Linked DNA regions of Arabidopsis thaliana. The main gene of each other region encodes a partner of the protein of the gene in region 2 in a complex. Each region holds a gene or a part of one and is shown on either strand. Other genes may lie near its edges.

The links. Proteins that work in one complex are often made in the same cells at the same time.
Region 1: AT5G10960 (region 2) and AT3G58560 share a complex: the UniProt entries of both Arabidopsis thaliana proteins name them as parts of the CCR4-NOT complex.

Annotation. Positions count from the first base shown.
Region 1 is NC_003074.8:21,648,312-21,657,520, reverse strand, and holds AT3G58560 (DNAse I-like superfamily protein), read left to right. Parts: upstream 1-3,320; 5' UTR 3,321-3,624; coding exon 3,625-3,782; intron 3,783-4,058; coding exon 4,059-4,797; intron 4,798-4,900; coding exon 4,901-4,987; intron 4,988-5,088; coding exon 5,089-5,172; intron 5,173-5,243; coding exon 5,244-5,330; intron 5,331-5,424; coding exon 5,425-5,511; intron 5,512-5,654; coding exon 5,655-5,708; intron 5,709-5,795; coding exon 5,796-5,887; intron 5,888-6,001; coding exon 6,002-6,116; intron 6,117-6,231; coding exon 6,232-6,379; intron 6,380-6,483; coding exon 6,484-6,641; 3' UTR 6,642-6,956; downstream 6,957-9,209. Other genes in the region: AT3G58570 (P-loop containing nucleoside triphosphate hydrolases superfamily protein), read right to left, coding at 1-422; AT3G58550 (Bifunctional inhibitor/lipid-transfer protein/seed storage 2S albumin superfamily protein), read left to right, coding at 7,288-7,642, 7,739-7,825, 7,924-8,015; AT3G58540 (uncharacterized protein), read right to left, coding at 8,295-8,498. UniProt on the Arabidopsis thaliana protein: Acts as a catalytic component of the CCR4-NOT core complex, which in the nucleus seems to be a general transcription factor, and in the cytoplasm the major mRNA deadenylase involved in mRNA turnover.
Region 2 is NC_003076.8:3,460,122-3,468,857, reverse strand, and holds AT5G10960 (Polynucleotidyl transferase, ribonuclease H-like superfamily protein), read right to left. Parts: upstream 4,761-8,736; 5' UTR 4,495-4,760; intron 4,381-4,494; 5' UTR 4,278-4,380; coding exon 3,444-4,277; 3' UTR 2,544-3,443; downstream 1-2,543. Other genes in the region: AT5G10950 (Tudor/PWWP/MBT superfamily protein), read left to right, coding at 7,226-7,303, 7,389-7,462, 7,550-7,601, 7,834-7,929, 8,023-8,075, 8,331-8,420, 8,557-8,736. UniProt on the Arabidopsis thaliana protein: Ubiquitous transcription factor required for a diverse set of processes. It is a component of the CCR4 complex involved in the control of gene expression.

The DNA of each region.
Region 1 (9,209 bases), on a different chromosome or scaffold from region 2:
ACATTATCCCCACTTGTCTCGATGGGAATATCTTCATAGGCCTCAAAGTTAATGACAGTGTTTTCCTGCTCGTTAACAGCCGGGTCTGCATTTCCATCATTACCAAACGGGTTAGTTTCAGTATCCCGACGGTCCCAACCTCCACTTCTGGCATTCCAACCGCCCACAGGACCTCCTCTACCACCATAGCCCGAACCTCGACCACCATAACCTTGGCCTCGACCACCATAACCACTATTTGCACCACCATATCCCCCACGATCATTATTACCAGGTGAAGGAGCAACAAACTCCGAAGATGGTGTACGGCTCCTAAGATGTGGAGGAACATAGTTGGTTCGAGACGGACGAGAATAACCCCAACCACCACCAGATGGTGCCCTCTCTGATTCAGAAACATCAGCCCATGAATTTGAACTCATAGTTGCTTAGCTTTACCAGAATCCTTCAAAGTATTGGTCTTCAATTTTGAGTTTGATCAAAGCCCCTGGATATCGTAATAAATATCAGTTCGAACAAGTTCGTTTTCCATAAATAAGTTGCAGCTATGCATGTAAGAAATGAGAGAAAGAGTCAACAAATCCAAATACTAAAAATGAAGAACAAATGCAAATCGATTCGAGAGAAGTAGTTATCTGTAGAAGAATCTTCAAAAAACCTCAGCTAATCGAATAATCTAAGAAATAGAAACGACTCGTAGTAACAAAACAAAATCACGATGAAGTAACACAAAGCTGAGAAGAATCGTTCCCTAAAACGAACAAATGCACAAATCATTAAACCCTAGAAGCAAAATGAAATCGAACAGGACATCGCTGCATAGATTTAACGACACCATGCACAGAGAGATATGAAGCCAGACCTTAAGAAACTCGACTAGAAGAAAAATCTTAGATCAACGATCAATGGTGTTCGAAAAAGCTTGAGGATATAAACCCTAATTTTCCCTTGTTCTCGCGATCGCACACGAAGCAAATGAAACAAAGGTTTCTGGGAAATGAGCAAAAGAGAAAAGATGAAGAGATATTTGTATTTCGATGAACTTTATTAATTTCCAAAAGCCTTTCTCGTTTTTTTATTTTATTAATTTTCAGATTGTTTGCCGTTTTCCAACAACGAAAAGCGTGCCGGCGTTGCTATAACGAAGTGAACTGTGTGTCGTCATAAATTAACATAGCGCGTGATAAACACGAAGAGCAAGGATTGGATAGAGACGAATATTTATTGTGGTCTGGACAAAAGTAATTACTGACAAATTTAGATATTAATTGCCAGCAAAAGTATTTACATACCAACTTATTTTAAACAAATGTCATAAATATGAGTCTGTACTTTCATTTCCATTGAAAATCATAATTTTCTAAATATCTATATTATTATATTATCTGTCTCTACCTAATTTGAATATTACAATGAAAATTTGTAAAAAATAAAATATTTTTGACATCATACATATATTTCAAAAAAATATTGTCAGCTAACTCAACAATTGGCCACAAATGCAAGTAAACTAAAAAACATACAACTACTTAACATATATGGATTGTATGATTATACAAGTCGTCAACATCATAAACATATAATCTCGGGTTAAATGGTCGACCAACTCCAGCGTTGATCAGCATTGACCAACAAAATATTCAAAACTAATTATTAGTATTAAAAAAATTAATGTTATTTGATATTGTAAAATACAAAAAAATATATTTATATCCAATATAAATATATTTTGTATATATATATAATGCATTAATTCATATAATATTTACTTTATTTTTTCAATTTCAAAACTAAACTAAGAGAATAAATATTTTTTTAAGATATGAACTATTCATAATAATAATAATAATAGTTAGTTTCTTAAGAAGTTAAATTTTTAATTGCTAAATATTTTTAATCAATAGTTAGTTTTTTCTTATATTATTCGTAAAAAACATTTACTTTGAATTTAAAAATTACCGTGCAAAATTTAGACTAAAAAGTTATATACTCAATTGTTTTTCATATTACTTTCTTATGAAACTTATATAGTCATGTGTATTTGGTTCTGTAATGATTTATTTTCTAATGAATAAAGAAGTTTATATATTTTAATTGATAATACAAAAAAAAGATTCTTTCACTCATATGTTTCTAATAAGATTTTTCTGGTTTTAATTTCAGTTTTTTTTTTGTTTTAAAAATTTTAATCATTTTTTTCATTTTTAGTTTAGTTTTGAAATTAAAAAAAGCTAAATATTTTAAGAATCAATGTATTAAATATATATGCAAAATATTTTTATAGTAGATGTAAAAATTGTTTTTTGATTATAGAATAACTAGTAAAACTAGATTTTTAATATTAAAAATAAAGTAAAAATTTATTTTTGAATATTTTTGTTGGTTAACACCGGTTGACGTTAGAGTTAATTGGTTATTTAACATGAAATTTTATATTTATAATGTTAACTATATAATATTATATACTTGGTTATGCAATCTATATACATCATTTAATTAAGTGTTATTTAGTTTAGTTGACATATATAGTTTGTACTGTATTATATTTTCCGTAAGTTTCAATCTTTTTTATTATAAATAGGTGAATATATGTGTATATAGAAAAAAGAGTATTAAAGACTTTTTGTTTCCCTTTGGAAAATAAAATAAAATAAAAATACGAGTCCATATTTGGTCTTGAACGAGACTTGCGTTCATTCCTAGGGGGATGAACCTCTTTGTTCACCTCCTTTTGCATTAACTAATAAAAATATGTCATGTCAAATCCTATTTAAATTACATAATAAATTGAAGCTATAATTATAATCCAAACCGATATATAATTTCGTTTAATTACAAAATCTAAACCCTAATTCTTCTTTGTAAATCCAAACCGCCATTTAAACTCATTTAGTCGTAAAAAAACTAAACCCTAATCGTATTTTCTAAACCCAAACCGACATTTAACCTTGTTTAATTGTTAAATCTAAACCTGTTAATAAATCTAAACCAATATTTAACCCGTTTAATCATAAAATCTAAACCTTAATCGTACTTTCTAAACCAAAACCGATATTTAATCTCGTTTAATCATAAAATCTAAACCCTAATCGTATTTTCTAAACCCAAATCAATATTTAACCTTGTTTAATTGTAAAATCTAAACCATGATTTTTTCAAATAAACTCAAATCGATATATAATTTTGTTTTTGAGGCAAATTAGATTTTATAATTAAATTAAACTTTTATTATTATTATTAGGTTTTAAATTTTAATGGGCTAAAACAGTGAATATAGAACCCAAGTATTTTTCTTTGGTCTTTGTCCATCTTTGGAAATTAATTTAGTCGTAGCGAACAAATCTATCCCACTCATTGGATTTCAATTTCATAAATTTTAGGTTGTAAAATTCGGGTTTGGAGAAAATTGGGGGTAAATCTAGGGTTCTGGGAAAATTAGGGTTCTGGGAAAATTAGGGTTCATCCATGCTGTCGAGTTTTAGGGTCAAGTAAATGACGGATCCATTAGGATCCGTTTTATATCTTATGCTCTCTCGTCTCAATATATATATTTAAAAATCTCAGCCTTTGGGCTTCGTTAGTGTTGGTTTGCTTTCAGAATTTAACTTAGTTACGGTAAAAGCAATGCTTAGCGTTATACGAGTGCATCTACCGTCGGAGATTCCTATTGTTGGCTGCGAACTTACACCTTACGTACTTCTCCGGCGGCCTGATAAGACCCCCTCCACCGATGATGTGCCTGAGTCAGCCCCGCTTGAAGGTCACTTCTTAAAGTACAGATGGTAAGTCATGCCTGTGGCTTCCTTTTACTCTTAAATCTGCTCCCTTTTACTAGCTTTTGCTCGAGTTTGTTATGGACGACTTTTTTTTACCGAAAGTTTGAGACTTTTCTGTGAATTCCCGGGTATGATTTGTTTAAGTGTTTCTTAGTCAGTTCAAGTCTTTGTTCGTTTGCAAATTTGAGTGTGAAAAATGATTTCTTTAATTGTAAAGTAGGGTTTATAAGTCTCCAGTCTTGTCTTTTGGTTCTGTATTAAAAGATGCATCATCTGTTGCAGGTTTCGAGTACAGAGTGATAAGAAAGTTGCGATTTGTAGTGTGCATCCATCCGAGACGGCAACATTGCAGTGTCTGGGATGTCTAAAGTCTAAAGTTCCTGTTGCCAAAAGCTACCATTGCTCTACTAAGTGCTTTTCGGATGCGTGGCAACATCACCGTGTGTTGCATGAGCGTGCTGCCAGTGCTGCTACAGAAGGAAATGATGAAGAAGAGTTGCCCCGTTTGAATAGCTCAGGGTCTGGATCTGGTGTTCTCAGCACCAGTGTTAGTTTAACGAATGGGTCATCATCAGTTTATCCTTCAGCCATAACTCAAAAGACCGGCGCCGGAGGAGAAACACTTGTTGAGGTTGGACGCTCTAAGACATACACACCAATGGCTGATGATATTTGCCATGTTTTGAAGTTTGAATGTGTAGTAGTCAATGCAGAGACAAAACAGAATGTGGGCCTTTCTTGTACCATATTGACTTCCCGTGTTATCCCAGCTCCATCACCTTCTCCGCGTAGGCTGATCTCTATTAGTGGAACTGATGTTACTGGGCACCTGGATTCTAATGGGCGGCCTTTGTCTATGGGAACATTCACTGTGCTGTCCTACAATATATTGTCTGATACATATGCTAGCAGCGACATATACAGTTACTGCCCCACATGGGCTCTCGCTTGGACATACCGTAGACAGAATTTGTTACGGGAAATTGTCAAGTACCGTGCAGATATAGTTTGTCTACAAGAGGTATGTTAAATATTTATGGCACAAGTTGTACTGACTTGGAAACGTTTCAATTGCTAGTTAATGGATAAATACCTCTCCAATATTTTCGTTTTTCATCTTGCAGGTACAGAATGATCATTTTGAGGAGTTTTTTCTTCCTGAGCTGGATAAACACGGATACCAAGGTCTTTTTAAGAGGAAAACAAATGAGGTTTGCTTCAACGCATCCCCTTGATCTTCCATTACCTTTTCGTGGTCACTTATCTGCAAGATGTACCAACCAGAAAATATTGATTCACTGGATAATTTTAGGTTTTCATCGGTAATACAAACACAATTGATGGGTGCGCTACTTTCTTCAGAAGAGACAGGTTCTCACATGTAAAAAAATATGAGGTATGTCTTAGTTTTCTCCTGTTACCTATCTAATTAGGCCCATTTGCTAAATCATTGGGCTGCTCATCCAGGTTGAGTTCAACAAGGCTGCACAGTCTTTGACTGAGGCTATTATCCCTGTTTCCCAGAAGAAAAATGCTTTGAATCGGTTGGTCAAGGTACTCTGAGATGCTCTATAGTATGATTTCTGTTTTCCGCACATTCTTGGTGATATTTTTTCATGTAAAACTGATTTAGAGTCTTTCTTTTTAGGATAATGTTGCTTTAATAGTTGTACTGGAAGCAAAATTCGGTAGCCAGGCTGCTGACAATCCTGGGAAGCGCCAGCTACTTTGTGTGGTAAGTTGTCCATCTTTTCAATATTGTTCTTTATTGTCAGAGATGATGCTAGAGTTGAAGTTATGTGTTTCCACTTCCTCTTCTCCTTTAAAGGTCTCGAGGTGATCATGTTTTCTCTCTTTTCATGTATTTGATGGGTGCAGGCTAACACGCATGTAAACGTTCCTCATGAATTGAAAGATGTAAAGCTGTGGCAGGTTGGTCTTTATTTCTCATTGTAAAAGAACTCTCAGATTTCGGATTCTTACATCACTATTGATCCATAATGATTCTTGCCCAAATAGGTTCACACATTATTGAAGGGACTGGAGAAAATAGCTGCCAGTGCAGATATTCCAATGCTTGTGTGTGGAGATTTCAACACAGTACCTGCGAGGTCTGGCTGGTTTTCCTATTTGTTATGCCCAAGTAGCAATTGTCAAACTCTATATTAAATTATGATTGTGGTTTCTACCTGAATTAACTTGGAGTTCCTTCTTAATATTTTCAGTGCTCCTCATACACTTCTTGCTGTGGGAAAGGTCGATCCATTGCACCCAGATTTGATGGTTGATCCTCTTGGAATTTTACGTCCTCACAGCAAGCTTACTCATCAGCTGCCACTGGTAATTATCTTTCCCAAAAATGGAAAACAGATGCACAGAATCGTGAAAGGCAGACTTCAATTTTAATTAGAATGGCAACATATGCGTAGACATCATACCTTTGTGACCATTGCAGGTTAGTGCCTACTCACAATTTGCAAAAATGGGAGGCAACGTTATTACTGAGCAGCAACGTAGAAGACTGGATCCTGCATCAAGTGAACCGTTGTTTACCAACTGTACCAGGGACTTTATAGGCACACTTGATTACATATTTTACACAGGTTAACTTAAGTGCTTACTTTCAGGGGTTTTACGCGCCAGTGTTTGCTTTCATCTCAGATTTCTTTTTCATCTGGTAAGCAATTTGCTTTTTGTTTTGTTTCAGCGGACACGCTAACAGTGGAATCGTTGTTGGAACTGTTGGATGAAGAGTCCTTGAGGAAGGACACAGCTCTTCCATCTCCAGAATGGTCTTCTGATCACATTGCACTTTTGGCTGAATTTCGCTGCATGCCCAGGGCCAGACGAAACAATATTTTATAGAGATACTGCAGCTGTAATAACCCGATACCAAAGACTGGTTCCAATGGATATGGTTAAGCTACATGAAGTAGATAGCATGGCCATGTCCCTGGGGTTTCTCCCGCTGGGTTTTTCGCTTGCGTTCTACTCTGTATCACAGTTTTATTTACTGCTTGGTTCGCTTGGCTTTTCTTTCTATAGTTATTTCCTCTTTGCCAGAAAGTTTTGTCTTCACTGGCTTGTGATTGTAACAATGTAAACAATTAGATTCTTCAAGAAAATAGTGACTTCACCTTTTCCATATTAAAATCTGTGTCTTCTATGGTTGCAATCCTCCTTACACTCTTAACCCTACAGCTTAACCATCAATTTTCTAGTCTCTTCACTTGTAGATATCTTGCAGATACTGTGAAAACGAACTGTGAACAACTTGATATATTTTATATGTACCCCTCCAATAACTGAAGATGATCCAAATTCCAAAACTCAAATTTCAATTCAGAAATTAGACATGTTAACCAGTACTCATTATATAATCCTTTTAAATCAAGTTTCTTGCAGACTTAGAACTCTCGAGTATCCCTATAACTAGAGAGGGAAACATATGTGAACAAGAAACAAGTCTTATAAAAAGCCACATTAAGTTCTTACTCTGCTGCATTAACTGATGGCTAGATTCATGGCTTACAATCAAAATCCACAAATGTTGGCTCTATGCATAACAGTAGCAGTAATGTTCCTTGGTGTGAGATCAGAATTGAGTCAGGATATAAAGGGATGTCAGGATGCGATGTCTGATCTCTACTCTTGTCTTCCTTTTGTCACTAACAAAGCTAAAGCACCAGACTCAACATGTTGCAGCACACTCAAGGTAAAAATAGACAAAGGGCAGACCAGGAAATGTCTATGTACTCTAGTCAAAGACAGGGATGATCCTGGTTTGGGGTTCAAAGTTGATGCCAACCGTGCAATGAGCCTCCCTTCCGCTTGTCATGTCCCTGCAAACATCTCTCAATGCCCAGGTGAGAGATTTCATATCTTCTACAATATTGGCTTGAAAAAGTATTGCATGGTCACAAACTAGATTGTTCTCATTGTTTCATTTTGTTTGGAACAAGATCTTCTACATCTGCTTCCAGATTCACCAGCCTCTCAAATATTTAAGCAATTCACTGAATCTTCTTCTCAGACTGTTGGACATAAAGGTACTAATAACAATTCTTACAGTTTTTGATTCTATTCGTGCAAACATTAATTTTCCGTTTTTCTCGGAACTAAAAGAAAACGAATAAAAATATTGCAGCGGTCTCCACAAGCTCAAGCATCAAAGGAAGAGACAACAAGCAATTTGGTTTAATGATGGCTGGTGCTCTCTCAATATGGTATATAATGTAAAATCCTCTGTGATCTAAAGTTGATGAACACAATAACCAAAATCATTATACGAGTCATATCTACTAGCTGAAGCAGATGTATCATGGCTTATTAATAAGAACTTATTGAGAAACTCTTAAGCATCATAGAATGCGATTAGAAGAACTCTTTGAAGCATATCATATACAAAAACAGCTATTTAGTTTCATGGAAACGCATTGAAAGAAAGAAAAAGAAAGCTTAAAATAACACTTGACAAACATGGACATGATCACCAATTAAAAATCTGCTACAGATTACTCACTCACTCTCCTCAATGAATCTGATGACTCCTTTAGCCACTAAGTCATCAATCTGGGCCTGAAAAAGCTTCTTTTGACGAACATTTTCCTTTTCTAGTTGATGTAATACGCCGAATGCGACTGGTAAACCTATCACCGATACTCGAGTCCAAACATCTATTGCACCAAACCATTTCGCAAACCTTGCTACTGCACCCGCCATGACTGGATCTGGGGATCATAAGATTTTAAAAAATCAAATTACCAACAAGAAGAAACTCTAAACCTCTGATCCGCAGATCTAGTTTCTACTAAACATAATCCTCATGAAGATCAAACAAAATTCACAATTCGAGACCGAATCTGTAATCTATTGACGCAGATCTTGAAACAAGCAAAGCTAAATTCAACTTAAAACATCAAAAGAAGTTCTCGATGGCGAATCGAAACAAGAAAAAGAAGAAATAGAGCATGACAAAGGTGCGGAGACATGCGCAAACGAAATTACCATAGAAGAAAGAAGAAGATGATGGAGAAAATCGAGTAATGAACAGTACCTCGTGAATCGTGATGTGAATAAAAGCTTCGAAACTTGGATTTTGTTGAGAGAGAGATGATCCAGAGATGAAGAAATTGAGCGCCAAGAAGAAGAAGAAATGTCCGGTTCAAGGGGGGTATATATAAATACTACAACACATAACCGGTAACAACAAAAAAAAAGATATTTTTGGTGGCCAAATATTTATCTGCTGTGCATTGGCGTATTTTGTTACTGTGTACTAAGGCATCCAATACGTGACACGCGTAGTAGTAGCACTGTATAGGTAAATTATGATTGGACTTATCCTATTTGCTTCTCATTTTTTTTGCCTATTTATTATTGCTCAAAAAATAAATTTTCTATTAGGCTTGGAAACTCATACAAAATACATGG
Region 2 (8,736 bases):
TTCAATACACCAATCTCTATTCCCTATCATGCATAATCTTCTTTAACTTTTTTTTTCCTGTTCTCTCAGTCTATTGCCTTTATGTGCTTAAAAGTTCTTCAACAAACAAGTATACATGTCATTTCTTTTTCTTATACCCAGGTTGATGCCAATGACATGTAGAGTTGGGCTTAATTCAAGAAAGCCATCCCAATGAATATTTACTTTTTGTCTTGGACTCCTGGTGAGTTCATGAACTTTTGAACTATGCTTGATATTTGCTTGCTAAATCCACTCTGATTGATGGATTCATTGTTTTTCTGTGGACAGATTCTAATAGGCCCCAACTCGTCTTCATTTGGTATAGTTTTGTATGCAGCCGCGGATATGTGTAAGGAAATTACTAAACCCACCTTAGCCCAACCTACAAATCTTACATAGAATATGTACAGTAGTAGTCACTAGTTCTAAACTAATGGAGACTTTATAGACTCTTTTGTATGAGGAAAAAAGGATTTGGAGGGGGGAACAAGACAAAAGAAAGCTTGGCAGTTCAAAAGATCTTCTGAAACTGGGACCGGTTTTATTTGTTTGGATGAAACGACAACTTGTTGTAATATTCACGGAGTAGATGAAGATGACAACAAGTGACAATGAAATTGAAAAGGATGCTCAATGACAAGAGAGAGAGATAAGGAGAGAGTGGACCAAGTGAAACTATTCAGGTATGTTTGATGTTTTTGTGTACTTTTGAAACTTCGAGATGAAAGTGGTCATCTCTGTTTCCTTTTAGCTTTCCACTGTTTAACTCTCTTTTGTCCTCTTTTCACTTCTTCCTTTTGAAGTTTGCTTCACATTCACACTCTCCTTCATCTTTATATCCATTGGAATCCTTAATAGTTTGCCGGATTTTATGGTTGAAAGGTACGAAACTCCCTTAGGACACATTCTACTTCACAGTGATTTCCACTTTACATGATTCACTTGAATATTTATCATATCAATTAAGTGACATGATTAAAGATTAATATCACCCTTCTTTCACAAGTCCATTAAATGAATATTGTTTGTTTTTTCCGAAATATTCGAAGGCCAATAAATTTTGTTCTGGTTTGGGTGGGAAAACAAAGTGAAACGACAAAGCGTCTCATCTATGCTTGCTCGGGATACGAATCTTCAGTATTTGATTTCTCGAAAACTTTAGCATAAATTAATATGTGGTGGAAGCCGGAAAATATAAAAATAGGCAAGTAAAATCCAAAGAACTAATTGTTAGGACAACTAGTTTAAGTATGTTGAGTATTTTGTCGAATGCGACCTATATATAATTCGTGGGTCCAATGTTACAAACGATCTACAATTAAAGAAATTGTGAAAGCTGATTCGGTGGATCAATTGTTAGTATCAATTAAAAATTTGATTGACTACAAATTATTTTATAAGTCTCTTACATGTACACTAATATGAACTTTATAATAACTTAAGACTGTATAGGTATCACATTAGCATTTAAAAACAAGAAACATGATTGCGTAAGGGGAACTGAGACAAGTGGTGCAGGAGAAACCACCCCCACATGGATGATTACAAATATAAACACTATTTGTGTTACCAGTAATCACAAATCAGCTGAATCTTTTTGATTAGATTTGTCTGTCTCATCCAAAATTAGGCAAAAAGTATATTTCAAAACTACATCTGAACCTTACTCTTCATTTTTGAAGAATAAAATAACAAATAGCCCTAATCATACTTAGTTACTTACCATTTTTTCCGCAATCAAGTACTATACATCAACAGAAAAAAAAACTAATAAAATAAAAGTGGGTGCTTGACAGCTTCTTTTGGATTCACAAGGATATGTATATCATAAGTTGATGAGTAATCGTTATAATTAGGGTTGGCACTGATATTTTGCTGGTCTCAACCAAATTGATAAACATACTATGTTTAGGCATACCAAATTTTCCTCAACGAGAACAAGTTCAAAAAAGACATATGGCAGCCACAAGATAATAATTAGACACTAATTAACTCAATTCATATCTGATATGTATATAAATAATTTTGATGCTATTTCGTCCGCACTGTGTTACACATTTTTATTTAAATATGTAACGTTTTTTTGGTTACCTAAAGCAAAGCAATAGCCAATAGTGGTCATTTGATAATAACTAAACCCTAAAACAACAAACATGCCCAAATCAGAATCCCAATTCAACCTTGGTAAAAACGTTCTCCCACCTCTGATCAAAGCCCACACAACAAAGGCCCAAATCAGAATCCCAATTCCCAACACACAAACACACGTGAAGAGACTCAGAGAAGCCGTTAAAGACAGGACTAGCAAGTACACTGTTTCTTCTGTAATAAGAAGTAGATTTGATTCTCTGCCACACCTACATAATAGTGACTCGGACTTTTGCCGTATTGCTGTTGTTTTCTTCTTTTTACTTTATTTCTCGTGTCGTGTTGCTATTGGATCATATGTTTTCGATCATCAAACAAGTTCGTGTAATGAAATATTTAAGGTTTTGAGAAACTTAGATTTAATTATCTTGATGGAAACTGAGTTCATACACAAATCCACATTTTGACATAATACTTCCAACAGGCTGATACTTTTTTTTTTTTCTTCGGCAATTGAATGAGCTACGACGTCTCAATCAGTCAAATCTCGTAATCTTCTGTACCACTTGCGACTCAGATGACGTCTGAATACTTGCCCAACAAAACATTGATTGCATTAGAATGCTACTCATTGACAATATGATAATAAATTGGCTATTGAGGTGATTGGCGAATGCAACAGCATACATATGTGATTCTCCTCCACATTAACCATGACATGATACCACTTACATCATAAACACCTAAATAACAAATCTATACATCAATCGATTACCATAGCTCTGTTTTTTAAACAATGTAACACATATAACCTCTAGCATAAGCAGTTCATTGTTCTCCTTATCAACTTGTATCAACGAAGAGGGAAAGAAGAACACAGGAAGATTCAACATTCTCTTAAGCATAAAACTTACCAGTTTGCATCTTCAAACTGGTATGGTTACAAAGAATTACACAGTAACTGCAAGCTGAGACATGCAAACGCTACTACAAGAAGCCACTGTCAAGTTACATTGGTCACTAGTAAGAAGAAAACACACACAAAAAGAAAAGAGAAGAAAAATTAAAATTGGAGATTATTTATTAAATAAACGGGTAGCTGAATTGATATACATTCAGAAACTCAAGCTAAAACAAAAACCCCTCAAATTTTGATCACAAGGGGTTTTCCTGAAAACAAAGCAACAAAGACACAACAAGTCACTTACTAACACCAATTTGCCAATTTACACAACGACGATTCTATTTTGGTCTTCTCACACTCACAAAGACTAAAGAAATATATCTAATCGCACTTCCCTGGAATTTTCAAAGTATCTTTCATTCCTTTCTTCTTAATTAGCAACAGTAGTAGTAGTACCATCTTCCACACCTAGACCATACAAGACTCCAGTGTATTTCTCAGTTGATCCCGGGAAATAACGTTCCTTGAGCTTCCTAAACGACCCTAAGGTGAGCAAGCTATCCGACCCAGCTTGATGACAAATCCCAACTCTCTCCACTCCCATAAGCTCCGCAAGTCTGTTCAATCCACCAAACAGTCCGTTGCAGAACGTCATCAAGTGCTTGATATCGTAAACCGTAGGGAAATACACATACAGAAGCTTGAAGAAATCAGCTTGCTTGAGAGGCAATTCCTTACAAGTCAACAACTTAACCAAATACCCGAAATCATATCCACCATGGAACGTAACCCACGAGATAGCATCGTTCAAAACAATCCCAGACGACATCATAAGCTCACCAAACCTAACCACATCAATACCTTTCTCAATGTTCTTCTTGAAATCAATCCCACACTGACGCAACAGCTCAATAGACTCACTCGCGTAGATATCCTCACCGATGTTGAACTCACGGAAATTGAATTGCCAGATGCAGAACTTATCCGTCCCACAAGTCGGAAGATTCCCATTCTCATCAGAAAAAGTTAACCCAACTTGAATCAATTTCAACAAATCGACATTTTCCTTGAGAGTCCTGTAGTTAAGATCGTTATTGTACTTGAAAGTAGCAACAGGCTTCAAAACCACACCTGGAAACTCAGTATCCATAGCGATATAGCTGAATTTGTCAACAATCTCACGGATCAACGCGAATTCTTCAACCAAATTGTAATCCCAAACCTCTCGAATCATAATCGAATCTTCTTTCAAAGTCTCCGCCATTTCTAGATATACAACAAACCCAGATCTGAAAACAAAGCATACGTCGGAACTCGGAAATACTGCGAAACTCGTATCGGTAGATCTGTAAACGAAACCTTCCGATCTGAGGAAGAGGCAACAACACCAGGAAAATCAGAAATCGATGTAACAAAAAGCAAACCCTAGCTGTGAAACGAAAATCGAAATGAAACGGAGAGACATGAAAGTATGAAATTACCAGAGGTTTCGCAATACAGATGTAAGAAAAGGAACAGATCTAGCAGATTCGAAGAGAGATCTGTGCGTCTGCGAGAGAGAAATTATCGGGTCAACCAGAGAGAGAGGTTTCAAGTGGTATGGCTTTGGAGAAGATGAAGTGATAAATAAAGACAAGTGTGAGCCTTGAAACGAAGCCGTTTTGTTTGACGATGAAAAGCTTATACGACGACGTTTTGCCGTGCGTCTTCTTACATCAATCATTACGTTTTGGCCAGTTACCAATTATTTTATCCGTATTGTCCGTTTTCTAATTATTTTAATGATGCGAATTGTGTGATATGATGACCAATTTTTATTTATGTGTATCACGGAAATTCCGTTCGTTTGTAACTTCCATGATCTTTTTTTTTTCTTTTGCTTTGTAGACCTACCTCCATTATTCTTAAATTTTATGTATTTTATAGCATTTGGTACTAGAGTTAAATTGTTATACCTTATTATGACGATCGAACTTTATAGTTATAGGAAAAGTTGTATAAACTAAACTGCATTTTGATTTTTGTACAAGTCTAAATTTATATGGTTAAGAAACAGATTGTGCTAATAAACAATCAAAATTATTTATTTTTGCTATGGAGCTAGTCAGCTAGATGATTTGAAGAACCTTAAAACTTCTTTTTCTTACAATTTTAACTCAGTTTTATATCATTTGGTAATAATATTCCTACGGATTGTCTCGCAATTTTATATCACATTTTAATAATTTCTGTACTGATTATCTCACAAAATTGAAAGAATATCAATTTTTTTTTTTGTCGAAAATTTGAAAGAACATAATATTTGATTATTTTCCAGGTAAACTCTTTTATTTCTGTTTTTTTTTCTTCTATGTAAACTCTTCAATTTCGGATTTGTTTCCTATGTAGTTCTGCCAATTAATTGAAAATATGGTATCTTGTTTTTTTTCAACTCAAAAAAAGGATTTTAGATTTATGTTATCTTGTTATTAAGAAGGATTTGTTAGCATAATTGTTAAACAAAACAAAGTAATTTTAATTATAATAGAATTGACTTTGGGATTTCTACCTTACAAGTTACAAGTGGCCAATATTAATGCAATCATACAACGAATGGGAAGACGTTTGATAGAGATACATGCATCACTTGTTACAATCATCTTCGTTCATGAATAGAATCATTTTAGATTTATTTATTTTAGAAAAAAACTTTCAAGTTTCACCAGCGTAATCAGTTTTTCTTCTTAAAATTATTACATGAAAAGATTCTCCAACTCAAACGAGGACCAAAGTTCTTTTTTTTTTTACAAAAAAAGACAACTATTAGGAAGAAAGGGGATAAAGGAATTTTAATTCTAATTATTATTACGGAGTCAAGGCATCATCGTGCTTCCCACTTACCCTCAAGCATAATCCATTGTTTTGTAATAATTAATTCGTTTTTATATAAACTAATGTATTAGCTTGTTTTATATCAAATAATTGTGTACCTTTTTCTATAAATTAAAAAAAATAAACAAGTAATGTCAAGTCACGAAATATTAGATGGTGGTTTCATCATCCGACCATTTTTAGGAAATTTCTTCTGGAATCCAACACATACCAAACATGAAAGTTTCTGCATAATTGTTCTTATATATATAACAAAATTTACTTAATTGTTACCCTCCAAAAATATGTCTCACCGTGTAATTGCTTGCTCATCTAAAATCTAAATAGAATTCTATATTTAAAATCAAAATCGAAAAAAACGAAAATAGAAACTAAAATTGAAATTTTTGTTACTTAAATTAGAAAGAATTATTTAAACAGTTGCATGTATTTAACGTAGATAAATTCTTTAATATCACGTGCACATATAATTTAGATTAGGTAAATCATCTAGTACCAAATATTTGTTTAATTTTATGGGTTTTGGATTGTTTAGAGATGTTTAGATCGTTCCTACAAATGTTCGAACAGCTTGATAAAACAAATGTCATATTCTACATGAACTCTAGGTAACATTTCGATATGATCTATTATAAGATACACTTAAAGATAAGAAGGCTCATAGCTGTTAAGTTACTAAACGTTAAGTTCACTCGTAAAAACGAGTATTTAGTTCTTGATCACGTTTCAGAGAAAATAATCTTATTAGAAAACCATTAAAAACCAAGACCGTAAATCTGAAGATATATCGTTCATAATAATATGACCATATTTTCTATCATTTTATTTTGGACCAACTCCGGTGATCTAATATTAATTTGAGGATCATCATCTAGTCATCGTAAAGCACTATACTAGGATAAATATCTTTTCCTCTAACTTGATAACACTGGATATTGAAGGTCCAATTACTGGCAGAAAACATTAATAGGTAAATAACAACTGGCTAAAGATAAAAAAAAAGAAGACCTTTAACAAGAAAAAGATGAAAAAAAGAAGAGTGGAAGAGACCAATAGAAGTAAAGCAAAGAAAAGATGTGGTCGTCGTCAAACACGTGAGAGGTAATTCTTAACTAGTAAAGTCACGTGTCGTTGGTTAGTTCAGGGGAAAGAAATCTCTCAAATCCCCCAAATGACACCCCTTGGTAACCTAAATAAAACCCCCAATTTCACCGCTTCTTTCTTCTTCGCTCTCTTCCTATAAATCTCTCTCTGCGCTGTAAGAAAAATATCTTACACCAAACACAAACACAAAACACAGATTCCTTCTTGTTCTTCTTCTTCCTTTGATTGCTTTCGAAGATGGTTGGTTCTAGGAAGCGTTCATCAGCCAAGAACAGACTTGTTTCTTCTTCAACTCGTTCTTCTGGGAAGGATAAGGTTTTGCAACTATCGCTTCTTCTTCTTTGGTTTGAATTACTAGTTTTTCTATGCGAATTTGCTCTAAAGTATTGAACTTTACTAGGTTTCTGATGCTCGTAAATATGGTGAAGCCTTGGTGGGTTCAAGGATACGAGTTTGGTGGCCGATGGACAGCAAGTGAGTGTTCCAATCTTATTGAAAAAATTAGGGCTTTTTTACTATCAGTTACTTGTGGTCAATCTTACAGATCTCTTGGTTTTGCAGATTCTATAAGGGTGTGGTGGATTCCTATGTCTCTTCCAAGAAGAAACATCGGGTAATTCATATCATGTATCTTGTTACTTGTTTCTATGGGTCTGCTTGAATCTAGATTGGATTTTGAATTGCACATTCATTAAATGAATGAATTAGGGTTTATCTCTTGGATTTTAAGATCTATTGATATCTAATCTGAATTGAATGAGTTTGGTGGATGATTTACTTTATCAGAGGAATTTAAGTTGCTTAGATAATGTGTCATTTAATGAGTTACTCTTCATTGTTATTAGGTTTTCTATGAAGATGGTGATAAAGAGACCTTGGATCTGAAGAAGGAGAGATGGGAGTTGATTGAAGAAGATGATGCTGAATCTGAATCTGATGAGGTAGATATTAGACAGTGTTTGTTTAATCATTTATTGTCGATTTTATCCTGTGTATCACTAGCTTTTAATGGTTCAGCATTCTTTTTTTTCCAGATCTCCCTACAGGAGGAATCTGCTGGTGAGAGTTCTGAAGGCACTCCAGAACCGTAAGTTTGCCCTTATCTTCCTACCTGTTTTAGACATCGCAACCTTGAGTTTCTCTTTATACTTAACTAGGGTTATGATTTAGATCGTGTGTTGTATCGTATAGTACCGATTGTTTTAATATCACTAACAGTCATGATTTACGAACATGAGTGTGTCAGATACACATATATTCATGGCTGTGGATTGTGTCCCTGAATCTAAAGATTTAGGAGTAAGTAATTCTGAATGATCTTTGTTGTCTAAACTCTCTACAGGCCTAAAGGGAAAGGGAAGGCATCTTTAAAAGGAAGGACGGATGAAGCTATGCCCAAAAAGAAACAGAAGATAGATTCTTCATCAAAGAGGTTGGTTATGTTATACTATGCATTCTTAAATAAACAAACGTATATATGCACACTTCCACGCTCACGTGCGAGTTCAACACAGTATTATTGTGATGCTTTGATTCTGAAAATCTAATTACCCCAATTGTTTTTACAGCAAGGCCAAAGAGGTGGAGAAGAAGGCCTCAAAGCCCGAAACTGAGAAAAATGGCAAAATGGGTGATATTGGTGGGAAGATTGTAGCAGCGGCATCACGCATGAGTGAAAGGTTTCGGAGCAAGGGGAATGTGGATCAAAAAGAGACATCAAAGGCCTCGAAAAAACCAAAGATGTCTTC